Linked DNA regions of Arabidopsis thaliana. The protein of the gene in region 2 interacts with the protein of the main gene of each other region in a pairwise test. Each region holds a gene or a part of one and is shown on either strand. Other genes may lie near its edges.

Region 1 (5,657 bases), on a different chromosome or scaffold from region 2:
AAGGTTATTTGACTTTGCGTTGCTCCCTCAAATTAGCCCCGCGAATACACAGAATCCAAGCATCGTTTTGCCCGCTATTATCACTAGAGAAAGGAGAATACATAGGTTTGAATTTCAATCCTTCATTTACCTATAGTTTTGGTAATAGTAGATTCATAGGTCTCTTGAGAAGTGCAAGTCATTTTCTCCGCGTTTCTTCTTGTTTGAAACTACAGTTGCTGGAAGCGAAGACTCGAATGTCTACTTCTATGATCTAACCAAACCGAAGCACACATGTGTAAACAAGCTACAGGTTAGACAATAACTTCTTTTCTTTTTTTTTATCTGAAACTTTTGTGTATGGATTTTGAATTATAGGAAACAGGATTCACGAGTTGTGAGAAATGGATGCTTGCAGGGTCACAGGTTTCCAGTAATGTGTGTTGCGTGGAACCATGGGGAGAACTTGTTGGCTTCGTCTGATTTCTATGGTGTTGTCATTGTATGGAAAAGAGCAAAGACAAGCTCATAAGGTTTGTCTATAATATTATAAATGAATCTAAATCCGTCATTTTTGCCACAAAGGCTTTGGGTTTGGCATCATCTCTGTATCGCTAATCTCAAAACTGTGTCAATTTAGTTTCCCATCTCTTATAAAGATATAGTTCTGTGACACTCCTATGCACAGATTCAATAGCTTAAATGGTTGGAACAGACACGTCCTTAATGAGTTAATAACTCTTTCCATAGATAAGTTGGTAGACAATTTGAAGAGATCAAGTTAATTGTACTCGCAATGTTTTTTGTTTTGTCACATTATCATGAACCAGATTAATTATCAGTAAAATTAATGAAGATTACATAAACAACATTCCATTGTAGTCTAGTTGGTCAAGATACTCAGCTCTCACCCAAGAGACCCAGGTTCAACAAGTTCCGGCAAGCTGGTTCATCTAATTCTTCAGGGGACCAAATGGAATATGATACTTGGTTCTCTTAGAGAAATGTGGCTCTAGGATTATATTGAATTCAAATTATGTAACTGATGAGCATTTGGTGCTTATATTAGTGTGGAAGTGGTTGGACTAGATAATCATGCTAATAATTAAACGTATTTCAACCAGCAAAAAGAATCCGAGTGTTTTGTGTATTAATTCTTTTACTAAAAGCAATAGAATCTCAACTTCAACGTAAGTAGGGCACTAATAAAAACTTAACATTTACAATTCTCTTATTTCCCAAGCAAATATCTTCGGCGTCATGTTCATATTGGATTAATAATAATAAGAAGAAGGGTTGGTTGGTCGTCGTATATTATGAAGACACTCTTCCCTATCCACTGACTCTATCTGTCCATTGTCCAGGTCTCTCTCTCTCTTTCTCCTTCTGCCATCTCTGTCCCAATTCAGACTTCTTTCTCTTCGCTACCCATCATTTCACGTTCTTCACTTATCCACCCCAATTTACTATTTTTATTTTCTTTTCAAGTTTTTATTCTCATATTTTGAAGTGTAAATTTAAATAAAATGCTTACCTATGTTTTCCCACAAAATTAACTCTTGTGTATTTCGTAATTTTTTTTTTCATAGAAAATAACTAAATCACTTAATTCACAAAAAGTCTATTTTGGTCTCTCCATGCAAAAACTATAACCTTTCAGTGTGTTGGTAAGAAAAGGTGGTACCACCATTTTCTATCACACTAAGATATCTCACCACACATTTTAATTTGACTTACCTCTTACCACCATTTCGTACCACCTTATACTACAAATCAGACTTATTATAAAATGTCTTGGAGTTGGGATTTTCTCAATTTGTTTCTGATTCGTAATCGTAAAGTCCTCCATGACAAGATATGGACCTACACTTAGTGAAAAGAAAGTAAAAGTTAGAAAATTTGTAGAAATACCTAAAATCTGTGGGCACAAAAAGACAAAGCTAAGTGGGGAAAAAGGCCACTTATTCATTATTTATGAGAAAGAGATAAGAATATGAAGTGTTTTTTTTTTGTTTATTCCTTGCAAAAATAGTTGTATGCAAATGCAACTATATAGTAAATAGCATGTGGACCATCACAGATATTATTCGAAAGAACAAAAAAAAATCAAATGTTGAAACTTGAAAGTGAAATTTAAAGACAAAGAAGAAGAAACTGTAAAAAGCTTACCAAAAAAGTGAAATTATTTTATTGAAAAGAAGTTGAAAAAAAACATCCGTGTGTAAACTTTGACACGTCGTTACCCAAATTATTCCCCACTCTAATAAAGATGGACTAGTCTACACAAAAATTAATATTATCTTTGATTACAAATCGGACATGAAATATTTAAAAAATTGCATAGCACCAAAATTAGATATGAAAAACGTTCATTATATATTTGTCTTATTCTCCAAATATGCTTGATAAACACATTATTATAGAAGAATTACGAAAATATCTTTTACTATTGACACCAATCAGGAATATATCAAATATTTTTAGATAAGAATATAAAAAACACAGAAAATGATTGTATGGTGGTTATAGCTTCATTCAATTTTATTGCAGCAAACAAACAGAAAGGCCAGAGAGACGAAAGAGAGAGGCATTAGGGTTTAGGATTAGGTTTTAGAAAAGGGTTTAGATCTCTACCAACTGGTTTGTTAAGAACATAATCTCCTTACCACATTTTTACTCTTGAAAACATTTTGATCTGTTTTTGTTATCTTCACCAAAAGACTTGACTCCAAGAAACAAGAAGAAGAATCAAGAAGCAAGTTCAAGAACCAGCTTTTAATGAAATCTCTACTTCAAAAAGGAAACTTGCTTTAAGGAGGATGGATCTTTTGTTTTCTTGAATCTTTTGTGTGGGTAAAACATTTTGTATTATCAAGATTTTGATTTGAGGAGATAAAGAGTTTGTTGTTAAGTTTGTGTTCTTGGGATCATCAAGAGTTAAAACAAAAAAAAAAAAACATTTCTTTTTTCCTTCTTCAATTTGAGATTTAGTGTCTCCTTTAACACCCACAAAGCCAGCAGATGCTTTCCTGGTAATTCTTTAATCTATCCTTTCTTCTTCTTTTTAAATTCTTAAATTCATGCAGAGAGATAATTCTCATAATTTTCATTGGTTCAATTTCTTAAAATTTGCTTAATTAAGATTTTATTACATAATGTGAAGTATAAAAAGGGTTTAGTGTTGTTTGTGTTTGATTCTGAAACAGATGACTCCTTGTTTGATCTGATCATAAGAAGAAGAAGACTATGGCCACTTATTACAAAACTGGCTCAAGTGAGATTTATTCCAGACCAGAATTTGTCCCTGGAAACGCAATGAACTACACAAATTCTTTCACAGAGACATTTCCTAGAGATTCAACTAATAATGTGTCACCTTCAAAAGAGATTCAAGTGTTGTCAAGCCTTGGTGGAGTTTCACAAATGGTTGAGATTCAAGATTCTGGTTCTTGGAGAGATCAAGAAGACAATGACAGGAATCGCTTCCCGGTGATGAGGCGTCTTGGCCTCAGCTCGCAGATTGAGACATCGAGAGGCAATAATAACAATGAGTATGCAACACAGGTTGTTTCGGGATTTACTCGAACCATTCACAACTCAAAGTATCTCAAAGCTGCTCAAGAGCTTCTTGATGAAACTGTTAATGTTAAGAAAGCTCTAAAGCAGTTTCAGCCAGAGGGAGATAAGATTAATGAAGTGAAAGAGAAGAATCTTCAGACGAATACTGCTGAAATCCCTCAAGCAGAGAGGCAAGAATTGCAGAGCAAGTTGTCGAAACTTTTATCGATATTAGACGAGGTAATCCGCCTTACAACATATCTTCTACACTTGTTAATGATTCTCGTGGTAACATAAATGTTGTTTGTTTCTTTGTTGTTTGAAGGTGGATAGAAATTACAAGCAGTATTACCATCAGATGCAGATAGTCGTGTCGTCTTTCGATGTAATAGCCGGATGTGGAGCAGCCAAACCATACACAGCCCTTGCGCTTCAGACCATCTCGAGGCATTTCCGTTGCTTAAGGGATGCGATATCCGGACAAATCTTGGTGATAAGGAAAAGTTTAGGAGGGGAACAGGATGGATCAGATGGGAGAGGAGTGGGGATAAGCAGGTTAAGGAATGTTGATCAACAGGTAAGGCAACAAAGAGCGTTGCAGCGGTTAGGTGTGATGCAACCTCACACTTGGCGGCCTCAACGCGGTTTACCAGATTCTTCTGTTTTGGTTCTCCGTGCTTGGCTATTTGAGCATTTCCTCCACCCGTAAGTCTCTCTACTACTCTTGTGAATTTTTTGATTGACCACAAGAGACTCTGACCATTTGTTTCAAAACCTTGAGCTTAGTTATCCAAAGGATTCAGACAAGATCATGCTCGCTAGACAAACGGGGTTGAGCCGAGGCCAGGTATTGCACTGTTAGCTTTTGTGCCGTTTCTCTCATTTAATACTTTTCTTTCTGGTGTGTTCATTTTTCATTGTTTCGTTTGATGATTGTTGAAAGGTATCGAACTGGTTCATAAATGCGCGTGTGCGTCTCTGGAAACCGATGGTGGAGGAGATGTACAAGGAGGAATTCACAGATGCATTGCAGGAGAATGATCCCAACCAGTCTTCTGAAAACACACCAGAAATCACCGAGATTCAAGAGCTGCAAACTGAGTCTAGTTCCAACAATGGGCATGTACCTGGTGTGGCAAGCAGTAGCATGAGACAAAACACAGTGGCCCATGGTGGTGACCGGTTCATGATGGTGACTGACATGACAAGAAATGGTAATGGTGGGATGTCTTTAACGTTGGGGATTCAGAATTCCGATGCTCGTGGCGATGTTCCTATGTCCGGTGGGATAGATAACTACAAGAATACCATCTCGGGAACCGATCTACAGTACTTAAACTCTCGCAACCACCAGCACCAGATTGGCTCTTCACAATTGTTGCATGATTTTGTAGCTTGAGGAGAATAGAAAGGTGTAGAAATGGATTCTTTTGTGAAAGTAAACCCAAAAAACGAAATTGTAGATTAATGAGAAAACATGAGGAGACAATCTGAGATTAGACACGATCTGTTTCATATTTAAACATGAGGAGACCTAATTATATGGTTAGAGGTACATGAGATCAAATGTTTTGACATTAAAATTACACTTAAAATGCTAACAATCATTCAGAAAATTCAAAAGGATCTACCCGAAGTTATCTTATTGACAGGTTTCTAAAACCTAAGCATGTCCAAAAAGCGGAAGCACAAGTTTCTGTCTGCGTTTACCTGAAAAAAGAAGCATTAAGGAAGTTCAATAACAGAGAAATGTGAGTTGAAGAGTTATGTGTGGATCTGATCTAAACTGATTTTACCTTTTGTAGAGAACTCTTATGTCTTCTCTTAAGGCAGGACTTTCGAGGAACGTATCACCAGCTTCATCCACATCGATCGTCTCTACCTCAAAGTTTTGATATCCGCAGTACTCGTTCCACTCGAACCACATCTTTGAGATGACTTCCTTTTTGAAACAAGTGTTGTGATCCTCTTCCTCAGGTGATGACCCAGCAATCAATCTATATGCATGCACCATCTTCTTTTGTCCGGGTCGAAACGCTCGCCCAATAGCTTGGCGGGTCACAGAAGGGTTTAGGGGAACATCCAATATTAGTATGCGAGATGCTCCAACAAGCGAGATA
Region 2 (6,273 bases):
TACTAAAATTATATAATATGTAATGTATGATCGTGCATGTTTAAAATTCAGCGTTTCACACGTGTAGTTTGGGACAACTTCGGCGTTTTTTTGGTTGAGTAAGATGACATGTGGCTCGACATTCATAACTATTGTGAATAAAATAAATTGATTTATGTAATGATTGGACACATTTGATGAAGTGGTTTCTTGAAAATAAGACTTTGGATGGATGCAGTGTGGACAAACCGGTATAATTTGTTTGCGGTTTAGTTTATCTGGCAGACAAAAAACCGTTGCAGACCAAGTTTATTTGTATGTAAAAATGGTCTGCAGATGGTCCGTTGCGGTTTTCTTCTATTTTTTTTAGATCACTACGAACTATAATTAATAAATAATAAATAAAAAACGGTATGATCCGTTGACGGTTTTATCCGCCCCAACCGCCATAACCATTCAAATCCTAAATAAAAACGGTTTTGATAATATAAGAACCAGCCCAAAGATGAAGTTATATATGTGACTATGTTAACACACATTTATAGTATGAGTTAACCTAGACCTATTTGCGTCTCACTTCTTATTAAATGCTAAAAATTTACCAAAAGGACGCTATTCATCACAATTAAGTTTAAATCTCTAAATTAATTGATCGTTTAAGTTTTTAACCAAACTCAAATAAATAAAAAAATATACGATAACTTTTATTGTGACGATCGAATATACTACCATCAAATTTTATACCAAATTTCTGTTTCGTAGCATGTACGAAAATTTTCACTCCAAAAAAAATCTAAAAATTATATTTACCAAAAACTGTGATTTCAGAAAATTATGTGATTTTAAAGAACCAGTGATTTCTCAAATTATATTATATGAAATGATTATTATTATTTTAAAAAGGTGAAAGGGTGAAGCAAAAAAATAGTGTGCATAAACAAATAAGCTAATTTGTTTTCTGGTACTTAGGTCTTTTAAATCCATATAAATAAATTCTTAAAAGATTGTTTTATTTCAAATCTTTAACCTAAAATTGTAACTTTAAATTCATGATTAAATTTTTTGTTTTCAATAATTTCTCGTAACTTCATTACATAAAACGAGAAGGATTTATAATAGGTAAAGGCGTGAAGCAAAAAATAATTGTATAAATAAATAAGTTAAATTTGTTTCATAGTGCCATAAAATTACACTAACATCTGAACGTGAAACGCACGCGCTTCTTCATATCATAGATACGTTGCGTCTTAAAACACAACACGTAGCAACTCTTTTTAAAAAGGAAAAATACATTTATTATTCCCAACAATAAAAAAAATCAAACACAGTCGAAGAAGGCAACGACCTTTCGCAGCCGTCAGATCTTAATAAATACAGTCGCCACTAAAATTTAACGACATAGATCGAACCATGACGACCTACTTTCTTTAATTAATTTTCTGTCGTGACCTAATCTTCTATTTGTTGTTTCATTAGTCACTTACTTTTATATTTATTCTTTCTTAGGTCTATGTGGACCAAAGTGATTGGAAAAGAAAAAAAAATACATTTTTGTCAACCATAACTAAATTATCTTATTTTCTCAAATGCACTGTTTATTATGTAGCGTACTGATTTATTAAATACTTTTGCTTTCTATGGTTAATTTATGATGTCGGATTTTTATCTTTCCCCCAATAATAATATCACTATAGAAGAAAGTTTACAAATTCTTAGTTAAATCAAAAAAGATTTTATCAGTTGATTTGATTATACGAGGTGACATCAATTTTTGTCTTCTTTAACAAAAAAAATCAATTTTTGTTTTCTTTAACAAAAAAAATCAATTTTTGTCTTACTTTTTAATTAGCATTTAGAAAAATATTTAACAAATAAAAGTTCTCATAAGCGATTTTTAAAAAAATGTTTTGTTTTTACTATCTTTCAGTTTTTTTTTTTAAATTAATTTTCTAAAAAAACACATATATTAAAAAACATATTAAAACTAATTATAAACATATTATCTTTTGTGATTTATATTTTTTTATAATTCTAAACCAATGATATTCAATTATTTATCTTAAAATTAAAAATTTATCAATAATAACTAATAAATAATGTATAGAAAATTTAAAAATTATTTTTTTTAAAACAATTTTTTTCCTCTAAAAAATTAAATAATAAGGAATAGAGAAGGAATATTTTTTTATCTAATAAATTCCATATAATAATTCAATTATATTGATAAATAGGTTGCAAAAAATAAGAAAGAATAAATATGAGAATAAATGGTCATCTCTCGATCTCTCAGCTCTGTGCAACTCTGAACACACCCACACATATATACTCAGATACATACATACACACCACAAAAACCAATTATTTTCCAATTTTAAGAAAAGTTTCTGTGTCTTTTTTTTTTTTTTTGGTGATAATTGAAACATATGAAACAATCGTCGTCATAGAAGCAGCAGAGATTCACCTTCTTTCTTTATCTTTCCCTCTCAGAAACAGGAAACAAAATTCAAAAAGAACAAAAAAAAAAAGGTCAAACCAAAACGATGGCGTTTCATCACAATCATCTCTCACAAGACCTCTCCTTCAATCATTTCACCGACCAACACCAACCTCCACCTCCGCAACCGCCTCCTCCTCCTCCGCAACAGCAACAACATTTCCAAGAAGCACCGCCTCCTAATTGGTTAAACACAGCGCTTCTTCGTTCCTCAGATAACAACAATAACTTCCTCAACCTCCACACAGCCACCGCTAACACCACAACCGCAAGCAGCTCCGATTCTCCTTCCTCCGCCGCCGCCGCCGCCGCTGCTAACCAGTGGCTATCTCGCTCCTCCTCTTTCCTCCAACGAAACAACAACAACAACGCTTCCATAGTCGGAGATGGGATCGATGATGTCACCGGAGGAGCAGACACTATGATTCAGGGAGAGATGAAAACCGGCGGTGGAGAAAACAAAAACGACGGCGGAGGAGCTACGGCGGCGGATGGAGTAGTGAGCTGGCAGAATGCGAGACACAAGGCGGAGATCCTTTCGCATCCTCTTTACGAGCAGCTTTTGTCGGCGCACGTTGCTTGTTTGAGAATCGCGACTCCGGTTGATCAGCTTCCGAGAATCGATGCTCAGCTTGCTCAGTCTCAACACGTCGTCGCTAAATACTCAGCTTTAGGCGCCGCCGCTCAAGGTCTCGTCGGCGACGATAAAGAACTTGACCAGTTCATGGTATATAAATTTCAGATTTTTTTGTTCTATAATTTTATAATTAACGATTTCATAATTATACTTAGCACAAATTTTAATAATACACACCGACTTAGGTTTCTTGATTTTTGAAATCTTAAAATATTAAAATCAAGATTTGTGTTTTTAGGGATAAACAAGACTAAAATCCCAAAAAAAGAGCTTATGATATAATAATGGTCATGATGATGAAGAAAATACAAATTTTGTTCTTTGTGTTTATTGTGTGTTTGATTAATGTTTTTTTTATGGTGTAGACACATTATGTGTTGCTACTGTGTTCATTTAAAGAGCAATTGCAACAACATGTGCGTGTTCATGCAATGGAAGCTGTGATGGCTTGTTGGGAGATTGAGCAGTCTCTTCAAAGCTTAACAGGTGAGAAAATGAATCCTGTGATTAGCTCATGAATCCAATAGTTAGTTTTATGACATTGACAAGTTTTGTGTTTTATTGGTGAGATTAGGAGTGTCTCCTGGAGAAGGGATGGGAGCAACAATGTCTGACGATGAAGATGAACAAGTAGAGAGTGATGCTAATATGTTCGATGGGGGATTAGATGTGTTGGGTTTTGGTCCTTTGATTCCTACTGAGAGTGAGAGGTCGTTGATGGAAAGAGTTAGACAAGAACTTAAACATGAACTCAAACAGGTAATAATCAACAAACTTGTTCTTTGAACTAGTTCATGAACTAACAATGTAGAGGGCTTTGTCTTGTTGATGAAAAGGGTTACAAGGAGAAGATAGTAGACATAAGAGAGGAGATATTAAGGAAGAGAAGAGCTGGGAAGTTACCAGGAGATACCACCTCTGTTCTCAAAGCTTGGTGGCAATCTCATTCCAAATGGCCTTACCCTACTGTGAGTTCACTCATCTAACATCTCTTTATAACTTCTTCAAGTTCATTCATTGAGCCATAACCAAATATTGGTTTGTAGGAGGAAGATAAGGCGAGGTTGGTGCAAGAGACAGGTTTGCAGCTAAAACAGATAAACAATTGGTTCATCAATCAGAGAAAGAGGAACTGGCATAGCAATCCATCTTCTTCCACTGTATTGAAGAACAAACGCAAAAGGTATTATTATACTTTAATATAGTCTTGTAACATAACCGAAAAACTTATGGATCGGACTCAAAGAAGACTGAAACTTTTGTTTGTCTGATGAAAGCAATGCAGGTGACAATAGCGGAAGAGAGCGGTTCGCGTAGAAACAACAAACATATGATGTGAATTGGGGAGGTGGAAGATGGGATTTGAAAGCAGGGTTTTAGGGATTTAAAGTTGAGAATTTTATGGAGGAGTTTGGATTATACAGAGAGAGGGGACAGTATTAGAAAGTAACTTTTTGTGCAATTACATAGTAACGTAGTTTGGTTATGTGATTATGCCCATATATTTTATTAAGTAGCACACAAACCAAAAAGAAAATATGAAAACTGAAGATGCAGGCTTTTGTTTAATGTTTTTTGTTTGTTTGTCTGCATGAGTTTTTTTTTTATGAACCATCAGATAATCATCATCATCATCCATAATATATCTTGTGAATAAAGATAGTGAGAGAGGAGAACATTGGGATGCACAAGTTTTCTTAATCTACTAGTATATGTTACGCATTGACCAGGTGCATATGTTAATTTGTATCGCACCACTTGGTTAGCTTAATCTATGTGACTATTATACAGTATATGTTTCGCATTAACCGTACTTAACCCATCTTATGATTCTTATCCGCTTAGTTCGTAGTATTTATTGCGATGTCACATTCCAACTCGTGATATTGGCTTGATAAGTAAAAGACATTATACATGGTAGATGACGACAAAAAATAAAACATACCCCATCTTACATAACGTAGCTTGCTGCGTACTTTTGTAATTGTAATAATTTGAAACGTGTTCTTTTTTCTAGTCAAAATTGTTTGTTTATCCTCATCTTGTTGTTTCGTTTGTCACGTTTGTGATAGCCACAAGTTACTGTAAGTTTTCGGCGAGATTTTTCTATCGATCACGGAGAGATTCTGCACACATTAACAAAGATAATTAGAGTGTCCTTAAGTATTTTGGTCGCCTCTCTATTAGAGGACCATACAAAGTTCAAAGACTAGTCTCATGAGAAGCCCATTAGTACATTAGATTAAATCTAGGAAAGTAGATTCATATAAGTAGTTTTGTAATGAACATCAAAGTTGTTAACTTAGAGAATTGTCATTTGGATTGTATAAATGGTTTGATAAACGAAGTCTAACATTAGTATGTGTTAGTCTTCTAAATTCAAATAATAATCGGAGTTTTGGTCTCTTGGACGATGCTTCACAGTGATATTCAAAAGTTTACCGTTATCACCCACCAACTAGAGAAGCCAAATTAGGTCTTTTACCAACTGTAGGGTAAAGAACTGTCTTCATGTAATCATTATAACCACCACCATCTTGTTATGCTTTGTTTCTTCTTCAAATTGCAGCTTTCAATATACAACCCGGTTTACGTTCTGGTTTACACTTTAGACGTTTCAATTTACAAAATTGGGCCGATTGACAGATATTGGACCTGGCCCATCAATCTAAAAATGCGCTATTTTGAATCAAAGACCTATTTAAATCTTCCGACGACGACTCCGTTCACATAGCAGAAACAGTGGCGACAAACCCTATCACGGAGCCAACCCGCATTTTCCTCTAGCTTTCGCACCGCCTCTCGCTCTCTCGCCCCACCGGTTCGTCTCTGACATTTTGTGCTTGATTTGGCCGTTACAAAATTCTGATTGCTAGTTCATGAGATTCCTTTTTGACAGGTGACATAAAGATGGATGGTAGCTTGTATGGTGAGTGTGGTAACTATATTGGACCTGAGATTGAATCTGACAGAGATAGTGATGATAGTGTAGAAGATGAAGATCTCCAAGAGCCTGGGGGTTCTAATGGCTGGATTACCACTATCAATGAGAACCAAAATATTGTTCTTCCTGAGGATAAGAAGTACTACCCTATTGCTAAGGAGGTTTATGGTGAGGATGTTGAGACCTTGGTTATGGATGAAGATGAGCAGTCTCTTGAGC
Region 3 (7,098 bases), 7.8 Mb from region 2:
ACACATGTATTTAATTTGGAAACAAAAAAATGAATGTATAGATGATTTTTTTTTTGAATTGTTGGTAAATATATGAACTTGACGTATATAGCAATAGTATACTATATTTAAGCAACTGAATGTGAATATTCTATAACACAAGTAATATCAATTTTTTGTGATATTGTTGGTTATAAGTTATATTCGAATTTGTCATTTATAAGAAAACTCACTGGTTTATCCATCCAATGAAAAGAAGAAAGCTTTTTGGGTGACTCTAATAAATATTAGCGGTTAAATAACTACAAACACAGTGTTGTTTTTGTCTCTTCTATGTATCTTTTTATGTCCTCTTTTACAACTTGGCTTTGATGTTAACTAATCAAAGATTATCCTACTTAAAAACTATTTAATTAAATAATTTTTAATTTCTTTAAAATTAATTAATTTCTTGATATGTTTTTGTAACGCCAATTAATTATACGTTTTTCATAATGTGGTGTTTGACTTATGGTTTGAATGTTAAGATGTCGTATATATCTAAATTCTAAAGAAAGAAATTTGCAAATTTTGTAATAAACACTATTTTTACAACAATTAATAATACATGTGCCAAGCAGAAGAACGACTATATTAGTTTTCTATGTCAACATTTAAGAAACATTTATTTAAAATTTGAATATTTGATTTTGTATGTCAGCAATGTTTAAGAAAACTTTGATTTTTTGTTTTCCTTCTTTTGCGTACATATTAAATGGAATTTAATAGAAAACCATTAAATCTTGATATAATTAACTTCTTCGCCCTTGCAGTTACTAACAAGGAGACTTTTGTTTTGGTACTTTCTCGATTAGTTTAGTGACCGACCAACAACGTATTTTAAAACTCAAAACACAATCTCTTTCACGTACTGTGCGAAGTGCAAGTCGAATAATGACATCAGTCCATTTGTGTTGTATTACACGGGACTACGATCTCTATTCTACTATATATAATTACTATTAATTAAAATGTTTATATAGTTATGATATGGTTGATAGTAATTTAATAGTAATTGTTAAACAGTAGAGAAGTGACACTGAGACATATCTGAGAAAAGCCTGAACTCAACTCCTACTTCTGGTTTGATTTCTTGGGATTCGTTCTCTTTCATTTACTTACCTCTCCATCTATACACCAACATATATATATATATATTGGTATGTTAATTCTCCAAAAAAAAAAAAAACTATTTTAGGAGCAAAACTTTTTCACAGTTATTCATTTTTTAAGTTAACTTAACTTCTCTTCTTTGTTTGAAAATTCATTTATCATCAAATAATTCTGTTATAAATTAGACCTGATAATAATTCTTTAACAAAGAAAATATATTTTAGGAGCAAAATAGGCAGAGCCGCAGAGGCATACATGTATTATATATAACGATTATTTATGTATAGAAAGGGACACCTTTTGTACAAAATACTAGTTAAATTTGTACATTCACGTGACTGGTTGGCTAAATTTAGAATATTATTATTTTCAATTAAAAATCATCGTCAATGTTCAAATATTGCTTGAGATACGCTATGCTTCATAAAAATGTTTAAAAAGTAGTTCCAAAAAATATTTTCACCAAAAAAAAAAGTAGTTCCAAAAATATTCATTTAATAACAAAATTTGCCTACATAAGCTTAGCAAACGACACTAACACCAAAATTGATATCATTTTCTTAGATAACATATTGTATACATATCTACATACATACTAAATACATATACACGTAGATTACACGTATGGATTCAGCAATAAAAATCAAAATACTAAATACATATATACATATATATATATATATATGAACATTTAAATACTAAATTATGTTTAATAAATAATTAAATCAACGTAGAGATATGTCATATGAAGATGGCTTGTATAATTAGTTTGTGTACCGGGCAAAGGATCTCTAATTTTTGTTTTCTTTAGTTCAGTTTAATTATTTGTTATCTATCCAATCAATTTTTTTTCTAAACTGTTTGGACCAATGTACGTACGTACCATCCTTTTTGATTTTTTTTGTAAACTAAATTTTCGAATTAGCAGGTTCTTAATAATTGAACGAAGAAAATAAAGAATAGAGGTAGACACCTGTAGTATTTTCTTGGTCAGACCAATAATTTATAATTCAACGTCAAAGAAGAAGAAAAATATAAACCATTATTTCATTATGACTTACGTATACCAAAATACACAAATTAAATGTATAATTGTGAGGCATTTTATATGCGGGAAAAAATAAAATAAAAAGAATATTAATATTTCTTTTGAAAATTGTAAAGCATTTTGACCCACTTGTGATATATATATATATATAGATATATATAGAGAGAGAGATTAAAACATTGATGGCTAGCTATAGAGTCTATGGCAGGGTCATGATCACCTGTCTTCTGATCTCTGAAGAGATACCAATCTGATTTTTTCTCTTCCTAGGTTTAATTTTATTTTACCATTTTATAATTCTTTATTTTTGCCTGTAGTACAATTTACAGACCCATACTAAAAGAAAAATTAAATTTTGTCAAAGTACAAAACAAAGAGAGAGGTGAAGCCACACAATCTCTTTTCTTCTCTCTCTCTCTGTTATATCTCTTCTGTTTAATTCTTTTATTCTTCTTCGTCTATCTTCTCCTATAATCTCTTCTCTCTCCCTCTTCACCTAAAGAATAAGAAGAAAAATAATTCACATCTTTATGCAAACTACTTTCTTGTAGGGTTTTAGGAGCTATCTCTATTGTCTTGGTTCTGATACAAAGTTTTGTAATTTTCATGGTATGAGAAGATTTGCCTTTCTATTTTGTTTATTGGTTCTTTTTAACTTTTTCTTGGAGATGGGTTCTTGTAGATCTTAATGAAACTTCTGTTTTTGTCCCAAAAAGAGTTTTCTTTTTTCTTCTCTTCTTTTTGGGTTTTCAATTCTTGAGAGACATGGCAAGAGATCAGTTCTATGGTCACAATAACCATCATCATCAAGAGCAACAACATCAAATGATTAATCAGATCCAAGGGTTTGATGAGACAAACCAAAACCCAACCGATCATCATCATTACAATCATCAGATCTTTGGCTCAAACTCCAACATGGGTATGATGATAGACTTCTCTAAGCAACAACAGATTAGGATGACAAGTGGTTCGGATCATCATCATCATCATCATCAGACAAGTGGTGGTACTGATCAGAATCAGCTTCTGGAAGATTCTTCATCTGCCATGAGACTATGCAATGTTAATAATGATTTCCCAAGTGAAGTAAATGATGAGAGACCACCACAAAGACCAAGCCAAGGTCTTTCCCTTTCTCTCTCCTCTTCAAATCCTACAAGCATCAGTCTCCAATCTTTCGAACTCAGACCCCAACAACAACAACAACAAGGGTATTCCGGTAATAAATCAACACAACATCAGAATCTCCAACACACGCAGATGATGATGATGATGATGAATAGTCACCACCAAAACAACAACAATAACAATCATCAGCATCATAATCATCATCAGTTTCAGATTGGGAGTTCCAAGTATTTGAGTCCAGCTCAAGAGCTACTGAGTGAGTTTTGCAGTCTTGGAGTAAAGGAAAGCGATGAAGAAGTGATGATGATGAAGCATAAGAAGAAGCAAAAGGGTAAACAACAAGAAGAGTGGGACACAAGTCACCACAGCAACAATGATCAACATGACCAATCTGCGACTACTTCTTCAAAGAAACATGTTCCACCACTTCACTCTCTTGAGTTCATGGAACTTCAGAAAAGAAAAGCCAAGTTGCTCTCCATGCTCGAAGAGGTATATATATTTTCAAGAAATTATTTCATTACTACTATCAAAACTTACATGAGTTTCTTAGAAAATCTAATCCTTTTTTATTTGGTTTCAACTTATTCCTAAAAATGTAAAATACCCACAAGTCTTTTACAAATCTTTTTTTTTTTCCTTTCATTTGGTTTCAACTTATTCCTAAATATGTAAGATACCCATAAATCTTGTATTTTTTCGATTCTTGATTAGGTCCATATATTTCTTAAAGTTACAAATTTCTTTTAGATATTAAGATAAAAAGATTCTTTTTTGTCTTCATTCTTTCATGTATTCTCGTCGAAAACAAGTTCGATCGTATCAACTACGAAAAGATCAACCCTTTTAATTCCTTTACTCATTATTTCTTTTTTTCTATAGAACCAAAATATAATTTTGTTTTCTTTGCTTTGAGCTAATTTGGAGACTCTAGTGGTCCTCCATATTTATAGCAATCAGTTTCATCATCATAAGCCATAACGAGTTGTTTCTTTTTCGTGTATTTACTCATTCTAAGAATCTACATTTACACGATTGTGATTGAAATCTTTGTGAATGGTGTGGGGTAACGTTTTTTTGCGGTTTTTTGGCAGCTTAAAAGAAGATATGGACATTACCGAGAGCAAATGAGAGTTGCGGCGGCAGCCTTTGAAGCGGCGGTTGGACTAGGAGGGGCAGAGATATACACTGCGTTAGCGTCAAGGGCAATGTCAAGACACTTTCGGTGTTTAAAAGACGGACTTGTGGGACAGATTCAAGCAACAAGTCAAGCTTTGGGAGAGAGAGAAGAGGATAATCGTGCGGTTTCTATTGCAGCACGTGGAGAAACTCCACGGTTGAGATTGCTCGATCAAGCTTTGCGGCAACAGAAATCGTATCGCCAAATGACTCTTGTTGACGCTCATCCTTGGCGTCCACAACGCGGCTTGCCTGAACGCGCAGTCACAACGTTGAGAGCTTGGCTCTTTGAACACTTTCTTCACCCGTAAGTTATTTCATATACATCCTCTTAATATATTTACACATACCTAAAAGTTACTAATTGTGTCTTTCTGAAGTGATCAATGAAGGTAGAATCACAAGTTAATTGGGTATATTTATGGAGCTATATAAAACCTCTTTAACGATTTTATTTCATTGATAGTACGTTGATAAATAGTATGATAGGTTTTTTTTGTTTGTTACATGAATATTTTTGAACATATAAAAGTAAAAAAATATGTACATTTTATATAGAGAGATTGAGATTGACTTGACAAGCATAGGATACAATCTACCTTAATCTGTTAATTGCATATAGCTTTTTTATTTTCCTTTTTCTTTCATTTGCACTATTGGTGTGAAAGTGAGTGTACAAACATATACATATACACATGTATATATATGTATACGAACATATAAAATTAAATAAAATAAATTTAACTGGTGGATGAAAGACAGAAATAGAGAAAGGTACAAAGTGGATTGAGAGAGAGAATCAATGTTCTTTACCTAACACTAACAAAAGAGAGAAACTATACATAACTCCTTGCTTTTTTCTCCATGTTTTTATTTTGTTCTTTTTCTTCTACTTTTTATTTATTTAATTTACAGAAGTTATATGTTTATCATCATATGTAACACTTGTCTCCATCAATTCCCAAACACTGCTCAAACAATGAAACATCTTGTTAGTTTTCACCAAACCCTTTACCTTTGCTTCCATTTTATTTGCATCATTCTTCAATCATTTATATCCTTTTTTTTAATTACATATCCATTTGTCTTATATTTTTCCATTAAAGTAAAATTTTCTTATTTTTGTTTTCAGATATCCGAGCGATGTTGATAAGCATATATTGGCCCGACAAACTGGTTTATCAAGAAGTCAGGTAAAGAATAACTCCACTAATTCTTGATATATTCCAAAATTTATTATCCTATTTACTAAAGTTATAATAAACCAAAATTGTTAGGTATCAAATTGGTTTATTAATGCAAGAGTTAGGCTATGGAAACCAATGATTGAAGAAATGTACTGTGAAGAAACAAGAAGTGAACAAATGGAGATTACAAACCCGATGATGATCGATACTAAACCGGACCCGGACCAGTTGATCCGTGTCGAACCGGAATCTTTATCCTCAATAGTGACAAACCCTACATCCAAATCCGGTCACAACTCAACCCATGGAACGATGTCGTTAGGGTCAACGTTTGACTTTTCCTTGTACGGTAACCAAGCTGTGACATACGCTGGTGAAGGAGGGCCACGTGGTGACGTTTCCTTGACGCTTGGGTTACAACGTAACGATGGTAACGGTGGTGTGAGTTTAGCGTTGTCTCCAGTGACGGCTCAAGGTGGCCAACTTTTCTACGGTAGAGACCACATTGAAGAAGGACCGGTTCAATATTCAGCGTCGATGTTAGATGATGATCAAGTTCAGAATTTGCCTTATAGGAATTTGATGGGAGCTCAATTACTTCATGATATTGTTTGAGATTAAAAGATTAGGACCAAAGTTATCGATACATATTTTCCAAAACCGATTCGGTTATGTAACGGTTTAGTTAGATAAAAACCAAATTAGATATTTATATATACCGTTGTCTGATTGGATTGGAGGATTGGTGGACAAGGAGATATTATTAATGTATGAGTTAGTTGGTTCGTCAATATCACTTGTAGGATATTTTCATTTTGTTTTTTAAAATATATTATTGAGAGGTTTTTTTCTCAATCTAATACTTTTTTCTTAATGTAAATCATATATATTTTTGTTTAAGGAAATATTATCAAGTGTCTTTTCAAATCTGTTTTCATATTCTAGGACCATCTCAAACTATTTGGAAACATTCAATCCCTTAAAATTTTGTTTTTCTTATAAATTTGGTTTCAAAATTTCGAAAAGTAAATGGATATATAGTTTTTTTTAAAGTATGTTGAGTGTCTGTACATGACAATCGTTTACGTATATACTTGATACAAATTATAAAATTGAATGTGTGTAACTGTGTATAATATACACATAAATAGATATCACACAAACATGGACGAGTGAAATTTGTGTAGTTGGCATGCATTATACGGATTTGGAATCGAATAGATACGACTTCAGTAACGAAAATCACTAGACCATCATATTTATATAAAGACATAATTAGAGAGAGTGTATGGTCTTTGTGTTATTAATGACAAAACCTAATAAAATAAAGTTGACGACAAACATAATAAAGAAAGAACAAACTGACTATTGGACCATCTCGGTCGATCGATAACGTTCACGTGTACACTCCCGTATACATAT

Evidence for each region. Proteins that work in one complex are often made in the same cells at the same time.
Region 1: the proteins of KNAT3 (region 2) and BLH7 interact in binary tests that used the Arabidopsis thaliana proteins (3 or more experiments, as listed by UniProt).
Region 3: the proteins of KNAT3 (region 2) and BEL1 interact in binary tests that used the Arabidopsis thaliana proteins (3 or more experiments, as listed by UniProt).

What each region holds. Positions count from the first base shown.
Region 1 is NC_003071.7:7,100,769-7,106,425, reverse strand, and holds BLH7 (BEL1-like homeodomain 7), read left to right. Parts: upstream 1-2,497; 5' UTR 2,498-3,011; intron 3,012-3,185; 5' UTR 3,186-3,225; coding exon 3,226-3,777; intron 3,778-3,862; coding exon 3,863-4,242; intron 4,243-4,323; coding exon 4,324-4,384; intron 4,385-4,480; coding exon 4,481-4,936; 3' UTR 4,937-5,157; downstream 5,158-5,657. Other genes in the region: AT2G16405 (Transducin/WD40 repeat-like superfamily protein), read left to right, coding at 1-105, 216-292, 398-511; DRD1 (SNF2 domain-containing protein / helicase domain-containing protein), read right to left, coding at 5,244-5,247, 5,334-5,657.
Region 2 is NC_003076.8:8,733,689-8,739,961, forward strand, and holds KNAT3 (homeobox protein knotted-1-like 3), read left to right. Parts: upstream 1-2,255; 5' UTR 2,256-2,519; coding exon 2,520-3,200; intron 3,201-3,475; coding exon 3,476-3,596; intron 3,597-3,684; coding exon 3,685-3,869; intron 3,870-3,946; coding exon 3,947-4,078; intron 4,079-4,156; coding exon 4,157-4,293; intron 4,294-4,387; coding exon 4,388-4,427; 3' UTR 4,428-4,913; downstream 4,914-6,273. Other genes in the region: AT5G25230 (Ribosomal protein S5/Elongation factor G/III/V family protein), read left to right, coding at 6,021-6,273.
Region 3 is NC_003076.8:16,577,480-16,584,577, forward strand, and holds BEL1 (POX (plant homeobox) family protein), read left to right. Parts: upstream 1-2,456; 5' UTR 2,457-2,944; coding exon 2,945-3,802; intron 3,803-4,404; coding exon 4,405-4,796; intron 4,797-5,621; coding exon 5,622-5,682; intron 5,683-5,766; coding exon 5,767-6,291; 3' UTR 6,292-6,598; downstream 6,599-7,098. UniProt on the Arabidopsis thaliana protein: Plays a major role in ovule patterning and in determination of integument identity via its interaction with MADS-box factors. Formation of complex with AG-SEP dimers negatively regulates the carpel identity process and favors the maintenance of ovule identity.